Sus scrofa: one gene and its partner. The protein of the gene in region 1 purifies or fractionates together with the protein of each later gene. This does not show direct contact. Links are inferred from orthologs where the notes say so. Each region holds a gene or a part of one and is shown on either strand. Other genes may lie near its edges. The genes, in order: ASIC1 and PICK1.

Region 1 (4,522 bases):
ATCTGTGTGTGGTGGGGTTATGAGTATCTGTGGGGCATCTCCATTTTAAGAAGCAAAGGGAGGAGTTCCCTGGTGGCCCAGTGGTTAAGGATCCCCTGTGGCACTGATTAGATCCTCGGCCCAGGGAACTTCAGCATGCTGTAGGTGTGACCCAAACATACGAGAAAAAAAAAGAAGAAGCAAATGGAGTCTCCAGTTCAGCCATGATTGTGTGTCCCAAATCATCTTTCCTTCCTCGGACCCCAACTCTGTGGGCTGGCAAGGGGTAGCCCAACGGGACTCTGTGTGTGTGTGTGTGTGTGTGTGTGTGTGTGTGTGTGTGTGTAATGGCTGAGGGAGAAGAGGATGGCCAGGGAGGTGTGGCATAGAGAGAATTACCTGTTAGGCTATTTAAGAGAAAGCTTCCCTTACTTCCCTGTCTCATGGTACTTCTCAGACTTTCATTCAACACACCCGGGGATCTAGTTAAAATGCAGACTCCGATTCAGTAGGTCTGGGAAGAGGGTGTCAAAGCCCTACATTTCTTTCAAGTTCCCAGGTGATGGTCCTTGGACCTCACTTTGAGCAACAAGGTGGCAGTGTACCCAGCACCACCCCCAGCTCGACACCTGTAGCCCAGAAGGTAAACTTGATGGGGTCGGGACCCTCCCAGGCACTGTGCACACGCACATCAGTGCGCCATGGGCTGTCTGTCCTGCCGTCACGGACACAAGGCTGAGGCTGTCACGAAGAGCAAATGCACTCCTGAGCAGAACAAACTCCTCTTCTGCCAGAAGGGAACCCTAGGGACATACAACTTCCTCCCTAGAGGCCTTCCCGGTCCCAGGCGCCTCCTCCTCCAGGACCTGCTGACTCCTGTCCCACACCAGCCAGGGGACTCACTCACCACCTTGAAGTCCTCGGCGCTGCAGACCTCCCCCCGGAAGTGGCAGGAGAGCAGCATGTCTCGAATGTCGTGCCCTGCGCGGTCATAGAACTCGCGCATGTTGAAGGGCTTGGGCTTGAAGCTGCGGAAGTTGGCCTTGTCCTGCAGTATCTCCAGCTGCTTTTCATCTGCCATCTGTGTGTCCGGTATCTCATACCTGGAGCCCAGGGGTGAGCAGCGCATGGATCAGCAGGACCTTCCGTTCCTGCTTCCATTTGGCCTCCAGTGTCCCACGCCCAACCTTGGGGGGAGGGCAGCATCCAGCCCTGGGCAGAGGCACAGAAGGAGAGCTGGGCGTGTCTAGAGGACCTGCCCCATGGGGTCTAAGAAGACAGAGGATCTGCAGTGGCTGCCCAGAGGCTGGGCATCTCAGCACATGGGTAAGGGGGGGGGGCAGAGATCAAGGCAAGAACTATGGCTTTTATACTATAGTTTAAAGATGGTTTGCTTCCATCCCCCGAGTGAGGAGAAAATTGAGACACAGTGGCAGAACGGTGGGCAAAAGTCACTCTAAAGGGGGGAACGATGTCTCACAACTCAGGCTGGATAGGGGCAGAGCTGTTTGGAACCGTACTGGGATCAGAGATTAGGTGCCCTTAATCGAGGGCTTGGCAGGACCCCAATTCCTTCGCTGTGAATGGCAGGTTTGAGTGGGGGGGCGCTGGAGGGCAGGGTTGTCTGAGCTGTATGATGGGTTAGAGAGGAAGCACCCCCTCGGGCGTCTGGGAGCAGGGGTGGGTGCTAGCCGCCCACCTGTTGTTGAGCAGAGCCAGCAGCTCCCCAGCGTGGTACAGGTCATTCTTGGAGACTTGGCTAAAGCGGAACTCGTTGAGGTTGCACAGCGTGACGGCAGGGAAGGTGAGCTGGGAGGCAGCCACCTCGTCGAGCTTGGTGACGTGGTGGTAGTGGAAGTAGTACTGCACACGCTCGGTGCACACGCACAGCAGCACGGCCAGCGAGCCCAGGAAGCACAGGGCCCAGAGAGCCCGCTTGAGAGACAGCCGCTCGTAGGAGAAGATGTGGGCCAGGCCGTGCAGCGTGGAGCTACTGGCGAAGGCCTGGATGCTCACCGGCTGGACGCCACCCACCTCCTCCTCCTCAGCCTTCAGTTCCATCCTGGCCGAGGGGATCCTGGGGGAAAGGGGGGTGGGGGAGTCTGTCACTGTCCTGGGGTAAGAGTACACATGGCGTCCCTCCAAATGTGTCCAGCCGGAATCCCCATCTCCAGAGGTCACTGCCTCTGGGGCAGGAGGCTTCTCGGGTGTGCAAGCCCCGAGGTGGCTGGCCAGGGGTCATACTCCCAGAAGAGGTTTTCTCCAAAGGCAGGGGCTTGGGGGTCAACTCAGGCCAAAAGAATGCTCTCCCGGGAAAGCCTCCGGGGCCAGGGGAGACCCCAGATGTAGTCATCCGAGGACGAGAGGGAAGTCCCAATGTTCCCACAGGCAGGCACAGGAGTTCCTTCCAGATGTGGGGTCACTCTGGGACAGGAATGTCCACCCCAGCCCGGAGACGCAAATTCCCCCAGATGGGCCGAATCCGGGGTCAGGAGTTCCTGGGCAAGGGTGTTCCCAGGATTGAGCTTTTGTCCCCGTGAGCTAAACCTGGGCCACAACCCCCACCCCACCCCCCGGGGGGGGGGAGGTGGGGAGGGGCCCAGGCTGAGTCCTCACCTGCTGGCGGCTCCAGTCCTCAGATCGGCGCAGGCTGTCTGTGTGCATGTTTGGGGTGGGGGGGTGGGGGGTAGAGGGCAGCCCGAGGTGGATGCCCAGGCATGGGGTGGGGGGGCGCGGTTCCCTATGACAGCGAGCTGTCCTCGCCCCGGACGCAACCCCCGCCCCCCCACGCCTTGAGTCTAGCTTCTCGACGCAGCCGGATCCCCTGCTCGGCCCCCGCCCCCCTCCCCAGCCGCTGAGACGCCCCGGCAGCCGGGGAAAGCGAGAGGGGAGGAAAGTCCTGGCTTCGGGGCGCTGGGGAGTCCCGCAGCCAAAAGCGGGGGGACCGGAGACCCACCTGAGGGGGCTTCGGGAACCCGGCAACCGGCGGCGGGTCCTGGGGCGCGGGGCCAGACGCGGGCTCAGCGCCGAGCCGCGGAGGGGCTCATGGCCCGGAGCGGGAGCCGGCGGCCGCCGCGGCACGCCGCGCAGAGCCCTGCAGGGAGCGGCCCGCCCGGCCCGGCTCGGCTCGGCTCCGTCCGCCCGCCGCGCGCGCTCGCTCGCTCGCCTCGGCTCGGTCCGCCTGGGCTCGGCGCGGTGCGCGGTGCGCGGAACGCGGTGCTCTCAGCCCTGGGATCTGCAGGGATCCATCGTCCGGCCGGGAGGCGGCGGGAGGGGAGGCGAAGGGGGAGGGGAGAGGGTGCGCGTGCGCGCCTACGAGTGTCTGCGAGGGTGTCTCTGGGCTCGTGTGCGCGCGGGGCCCCCGGAACGGGGAGCGGGACCGAGGGCTCCCCCCGCTGCCTCGTCCCCTCCTCCCAGCCGCTCTCGGAGCTGCTGCCTCCCTCCAGTCCCGGAGCAGTCTCCCTGTCCGCGAGGCCCTATGGCTTGTGTGTGTGACTGTGATGTGTGAGTGTGTGTATGTACGCGCGCGCACGCGCGCGCGCCGGGGAGGGAAGGTGTCTGCCCCCAGCGTCCCCCTCCCCGCGCTGTCTCCTTCGGATCGATGCTCCTTCCTCTTGCTGCTGCTTCCTCTGGTGGCACACACGCGTATGCGCGCGCGCGCACGCACACACACTCACACACACACAAGCAAGCTCCGACTCACACTTGACTGATTCAAGCACTTGCCCGTTTGGAGACACAGACATATATACAGACCAGAGTCACACCATGGCACTCACAGCCACACGCACCCTCCACAGACACCCACACACCTCAGAGGCCTGGCGCATAGGGCAGGAACTCAAGAGCTTAGAAATATTCACCTGTTCTCATTGTCCCTGCTCCCCACCTACATGTGACACATACACACATGTACATATGTAAACAAACACACAGGCTTGGCCACCCAAACCCTATCCTTGAGCCTTGGCCTTGCCTTGGGGTGGGGGCGGGGGGGGCATGTTTGCATCTCCTTACTACCAAACCTCTAAAGAAGGAGCAGAGAGAAGGAGAAATAGCCAGAGGTCAAGAGAATTTGGAGAGAAGTCAAGAAAGAGGGAAAGAGAAAGGAAGGGGCAGTGGGAGGACATAGGGTTGGGGGGTGAACAGGATGAGGAAGGGATGGAACCGGGAGCTGTACTCAGGGGTGGAGCAGAATTCTGAGGCACTGAGACCAGACCTGGGGGCAGGCGCGCGGGGGGGTGGGGGGTGCTTCTCCTCTAGCTCTCACCTCTCTCCTTTTCCCTCCCTCCTTCTCTCTGAGAGGCCTTGGGGGGCCCTCCCTACCCAATTAACAGAGAAGGAGCAATCAAAGCGAAGCTGTTAATTTGCTGATGCTCATTAGGGGCTCTCAACACGAAGACTGTTGAGGTCTGATGGTGTCAGGTGATGAGGAAGGGGGTGTGGGGGACCAAAATTCTATCTCTAGCCACTCCTTCACTCTACTTCCAGGCTGGTGCCACTCTGGGAGACGAAGGTGAGAGGTGTGTTCCCAGGGCTTTAA
Region 2 (3,799 bases), about 6.2 Mb from region 1:
CCTGTGCAATGGTGAGTCCCCCGCTTCCTCCCACCCACCTCTGGCCCTGAGGGGACTCAGACCCAGGCCCGAGGGGGAGGGGCACCATGGCTGCCCAGCAAGCCGACCGGGGTCCTGCCGGCCTGGGCCTGGCCTCTGCTTGTGGGGCTGACATTTACCATCTCTTTGCATCCTTGGAGGCCTCTCCAGCTCCCAGAGAGCGTCCACCACGGTCAGGTCAGAGGAGGCATCTTCCAGCCAGTGTCCCTCACTCCCGAGCAAGGGTCCACAGGTCACAGATGAGGAGACAGACTCACCGTGGGGCTGGGCCTCCTTCCGGCTCCCTGAGCTGGGCTCTCACCCCCGCCCCCAGCTGCTCGCCCACAGCCAGGCCTCAGCCCTCACCCGTGCCCCAGCATGCTGCCTCCACACTGCCCACTCGGCCCCGCCTCTCTCCAGGAGGTGGCGCTGCTGCCCTTGTCCCAGCAGTCCCTGCCCAGGGCTGGAGGTGGCTGTCTGCCTGGGACAGAGGGAAAAGTGCGTCCACGCATATTCACACCCATGCCTGCCTGTGCACACACGCGCTCTCCCTGGGGCGGGGGCAGCGAAACAGTCCTGCTCCTGCCGTCACCAGCCTGGGTTTATAAATAGCAGCAGCTCTGCTGTGGACGTGTGGGGACAGATATAAATACCTATATAAATTGTAGGCTCAGCTGGGCACACTGGGCTTTATTGGCCGGGACGTGGGGGTGGGGTCTGAGCTTGTTCCAAATGGTGCACAAAAGTGGCGGCTGCTATTTCCAGCTCCTCAGTGTCTATAAATCCCTGTTACTGTAGTTACCATGCGTTGCGATGAAATTAGAACTGGTTGTTGTGTTTTTTCCCCCCAAACCTTGCAATTTCCCCAGCCTTAAATAGGGTTTCTAAAATTGAAGCTGTCATGATGTCCCATGACCCAGCTAAAAACAACAGCACGGCGCTTACGTGGCTCCTTCCCTGCCAGGCTGGCCAGGTGCCAAGGCTCTGGGGAGCCAGGGCCTGGAGGCCAGCCGGGTGGCCGAAGCCTCCTGAAGACCTCCAAGGGGCTCCCGTCCAGCCCCTAGCCCCAGCCTTCCTCCCTGACAGCCCGACCGACACACAGAGCCGCCTCTGCCCAGATCCGGCTCCTGTTATTGCCCCCTCTCCCCCCACAGAAAACCCTGGCCCAGGTCAGCACAGGAGACCGGCGGGGGGCGGGAGCAGAGGGCACCCTGGCCTGGTTAGCCCTTGCTGTGTGCCTTTGGACAAGTTGCTTTGCCTCTCTGTCCCTGGTTTTCTCTCTAAGTTGAGGGAAGTAGTCTCTGCCCCAAAGGCTCGTATGGAGGGAGGACCGAGCTGTGTGAGGGCACTCAGTAAGGCCAGGCCCTGCCCTAGGAGGTGCCAGGCCAGGAAGCACCAACATGGGCCTGCCGCGCAGTTGCTGCCGGTGTTCCTGGTGGGGGCGGTGTGGACCTCAGCCCCCTGGGAATGGAGGAGGGCGGGGCTCACTGCAGGTGGGAGCCCCGCCCCATCCTGACAGGAACGCTGGCCCTTCCCTGGCAGTCTGCCTGCCCCCTGTTTGGAGCCCTTGAGGGGAGGCAGCTGCCCCCGCCCCTCACCTTGCAGCCCTTATTGTCCTGGTCCTGGCCTGGCCACTGTCACTGCTGGACTGTGAGCCTTGAAGGCACAGCTGAGACTTCATTCAGCACAGCCCTTCCTGGGCCTCATACGGGGGCTGGCACCCAGTGGGAGCTTGCTAAACGCTGTTAGGCAGATCCCCAAGGCCCGCTCCAGTGCAGGCCCCTCCTGGATTCCTCCCTACCCAGATTGTTCTCCCTTCTGAGCTGGCGGGTGGTGACGGGCGCTGCCTTGAGCCTGCCTTAGAGTCATTGTTGATGCATCCTGTCTCTTGCTCATCTCTGCCTTGCTCCTTGGTGTTGGCAGGGAGGGAGTTAGAAGCACAGGGGCCTTGATGGCTAGGCCTAGGCCTGCCTTCTGCTGGCCGTGGGGAGCCGGCCGTGGGTTTGGCCTTAGGGGAGGCCCAGCGGGTTTCCACCCATGACTTTTGGAAGTACCTGCACCCTCATTGCCTTCCTGCCCCTTTGGTGTGCCCCAGCCTGCCAGGGTGGCGCTTCACTCGGGCGTCCTGAGGGCAGCCCTGCCACCCCAACGTGTCTGGATGTGCTGGGCTCTCTGCAAAACACCAGTGAGCCCGGCTGACCCCGAGGCGCCCAATCCTCTCCCTGGGACCCTGTTCTGTGCCATTCCTGGTCCTCCACCAGGACCACCTTGCCCCTCACAAGCCTGGCGCAGGTGACCCCGGAGCTCTCCCCTCACCCTGGCTCTCTGACCCCTACAGATGGGCTTGTCAAGAGGCTCGAGGAGCTGGAACGGACGGCAGAGCTGTATAAAGGTGGGCAGGCGCAGCCCCGCCGTGGGTGGGGTGTCCCCGTCCAGGAAGCGCCCGGTACTGGCTCTGCCCCGGGTTGGGGGGAGCTCCAGAACCCTGCTCTAAAGATGATGGCAGTGGGGCGGGCATGCCAGCCTAGACGATTCCAGGGCCATGGCTATTAAAAACTCTTAAGGAGGGAGTTCCCGTCGTGGCGCAGCAGAAACAAGTCTGACTAGGAGCGGTGAGGTTGCGGGTTCGATCCGTGGCCTCGCTCAGTGGGTTAAGGATCTGGCGTTGCCGTGAGTGGTGGTGTAGGTCACAGATGCGGCTTGGATCTGGCGTTGCTGTGGCTCTGGCATAGGCTGGCAGCAGCAGCTCCAGTTGGACCCCTAGCTTGGGAACCTCCATATGGCACGGGTGTGGCCCTAAAAAGACAAAAGACAAAAAAAACAAAAACCCTCTTAAGGAAAAAAAATCTTAAGATATACTTTTTCTGATTATAAAAGTAACACGCGTTCATTAAAATCAAATAATGGCACAATAGAAACATAGAAAAATCTGAACATCAGGAACAGTGAGGGGTTTGGAGGCTGTGTCCTGGGCCGTTGCGGTTCCCGCCATGTGTCCCTGTCCCTCTTGGCTGGGTCTCTCGCACAGGGATGACGGAACACACCAAGAACCTCCTACGGGCCTTCTATGAGCTGTCACAGACGCACCGGGGTAAGGGCCCCGCACCTGCTCCGTGACCCCAGAGGAACCCCTGTCCCCGTCTGGGTTCAGCATTTCTCCCACCCCTGTACATGAGGGGGCAGCCAAGCTCCTGGCTGGGAACTTTCTCCTGACACCACAGCCTGTGACCTCAGGCCGGGCTTGGGCTGGGCATCGTCTAGGTGCTGGGATGTAGCAGTGGTGGGCACAGTTGCTCACCCTGGGCCCGGTCCTGTCTCTGTCCGAGGCCTTGCTAGTCCCGGTCTTGTTTCCTCCAAGTCAGTTAGCCAGCAGGGCTGCTGCAGTTACAGTTTTACTCTCGGGAAAACTGAAAAAGCGGTCTCGCAGCTCCTTAGGGCAGCGTTGGCCTCAGGACCAGGTTCCCCGACCAGTGCTCTGTCCTCAGACAGACTCACCTCCTCCAGCCTTGACCCAGCCTCCTCCCGTGGTCTGGTCCCTGGAGAGTGGGGCCAGCTCCTTTGGGTGTAGACTTAGCTTCCTTGGGGCTGCAGGTTCAACTCTTAGAGGTACAGGCCCACTTTCTCAAGGTGTAGACCCCCCTCCCTTGGGGTGTAGACCTAGGACGGCCCTGGGCCTCCAGCCCGCCGTGCCCCCCGCCTTGCTTCTCCCCAACAAATCCCTGGCTTCTCCATTAAGGGGTCAAATAGGGGCAGCCTTCAGGACAAACTTGTCACGCAGCCT

Evidence for each region.
Region 2: the proteins of ASIC1 (region 1) and PICK1 purify together in Homo sapiens (affinity purification with western blotting; 3 studies listed by BioGRID and IntAct, with this or other methods). This does not show direct contact. The link is inferred for Sus scrofa from reciprocal best matches to the Homo sapiens genes ASIC1 and PICK1.

The regions. Positions count from the first base shown.
Region 1 is NC_010447.5:15,963,635-15,968,156, reverse strand, and holds the start of ASIC1 (acid-sensing ion channel 1), read right to left. Parts: upstream 3,040-4,522; 5' UTR 2,936-3,039; intron 2,057-2,935; 5' UTR 2,041-2,056; coding exon 1,679-2,040; intron 1,083-1,678; coding exon 887-1,082; intron 1-886. UniProt on the Homo sapiens protein: Forms voltage-independent, pH-gated trimeric sodium channels that act as postsynaptic excitatory receptors in the nervous system, playing a crucial role in regulating synaptic plasticity, learning, and memory.
Region 2 is NC_010447.5:9,812,460-9,816,258, reverse strand, and holds part of PICK1 (PRKCA-binding protein), read left to right. Parts: coding exon 1-11; intron 12-158; exon of another isoform or gene 159-792; intron 793-2,356; coding exon 2,357-2,410; intron 2,411-3,046; coding exon 3,047-3,109; intron 3,110-3,796; coding exon 3,797-3,799. UniProt on the Homo sapiens protein: Probable adapter protein that bind to and organize the subcellular localization of a variety of membrane proteins containing some PDZ recognition sequence.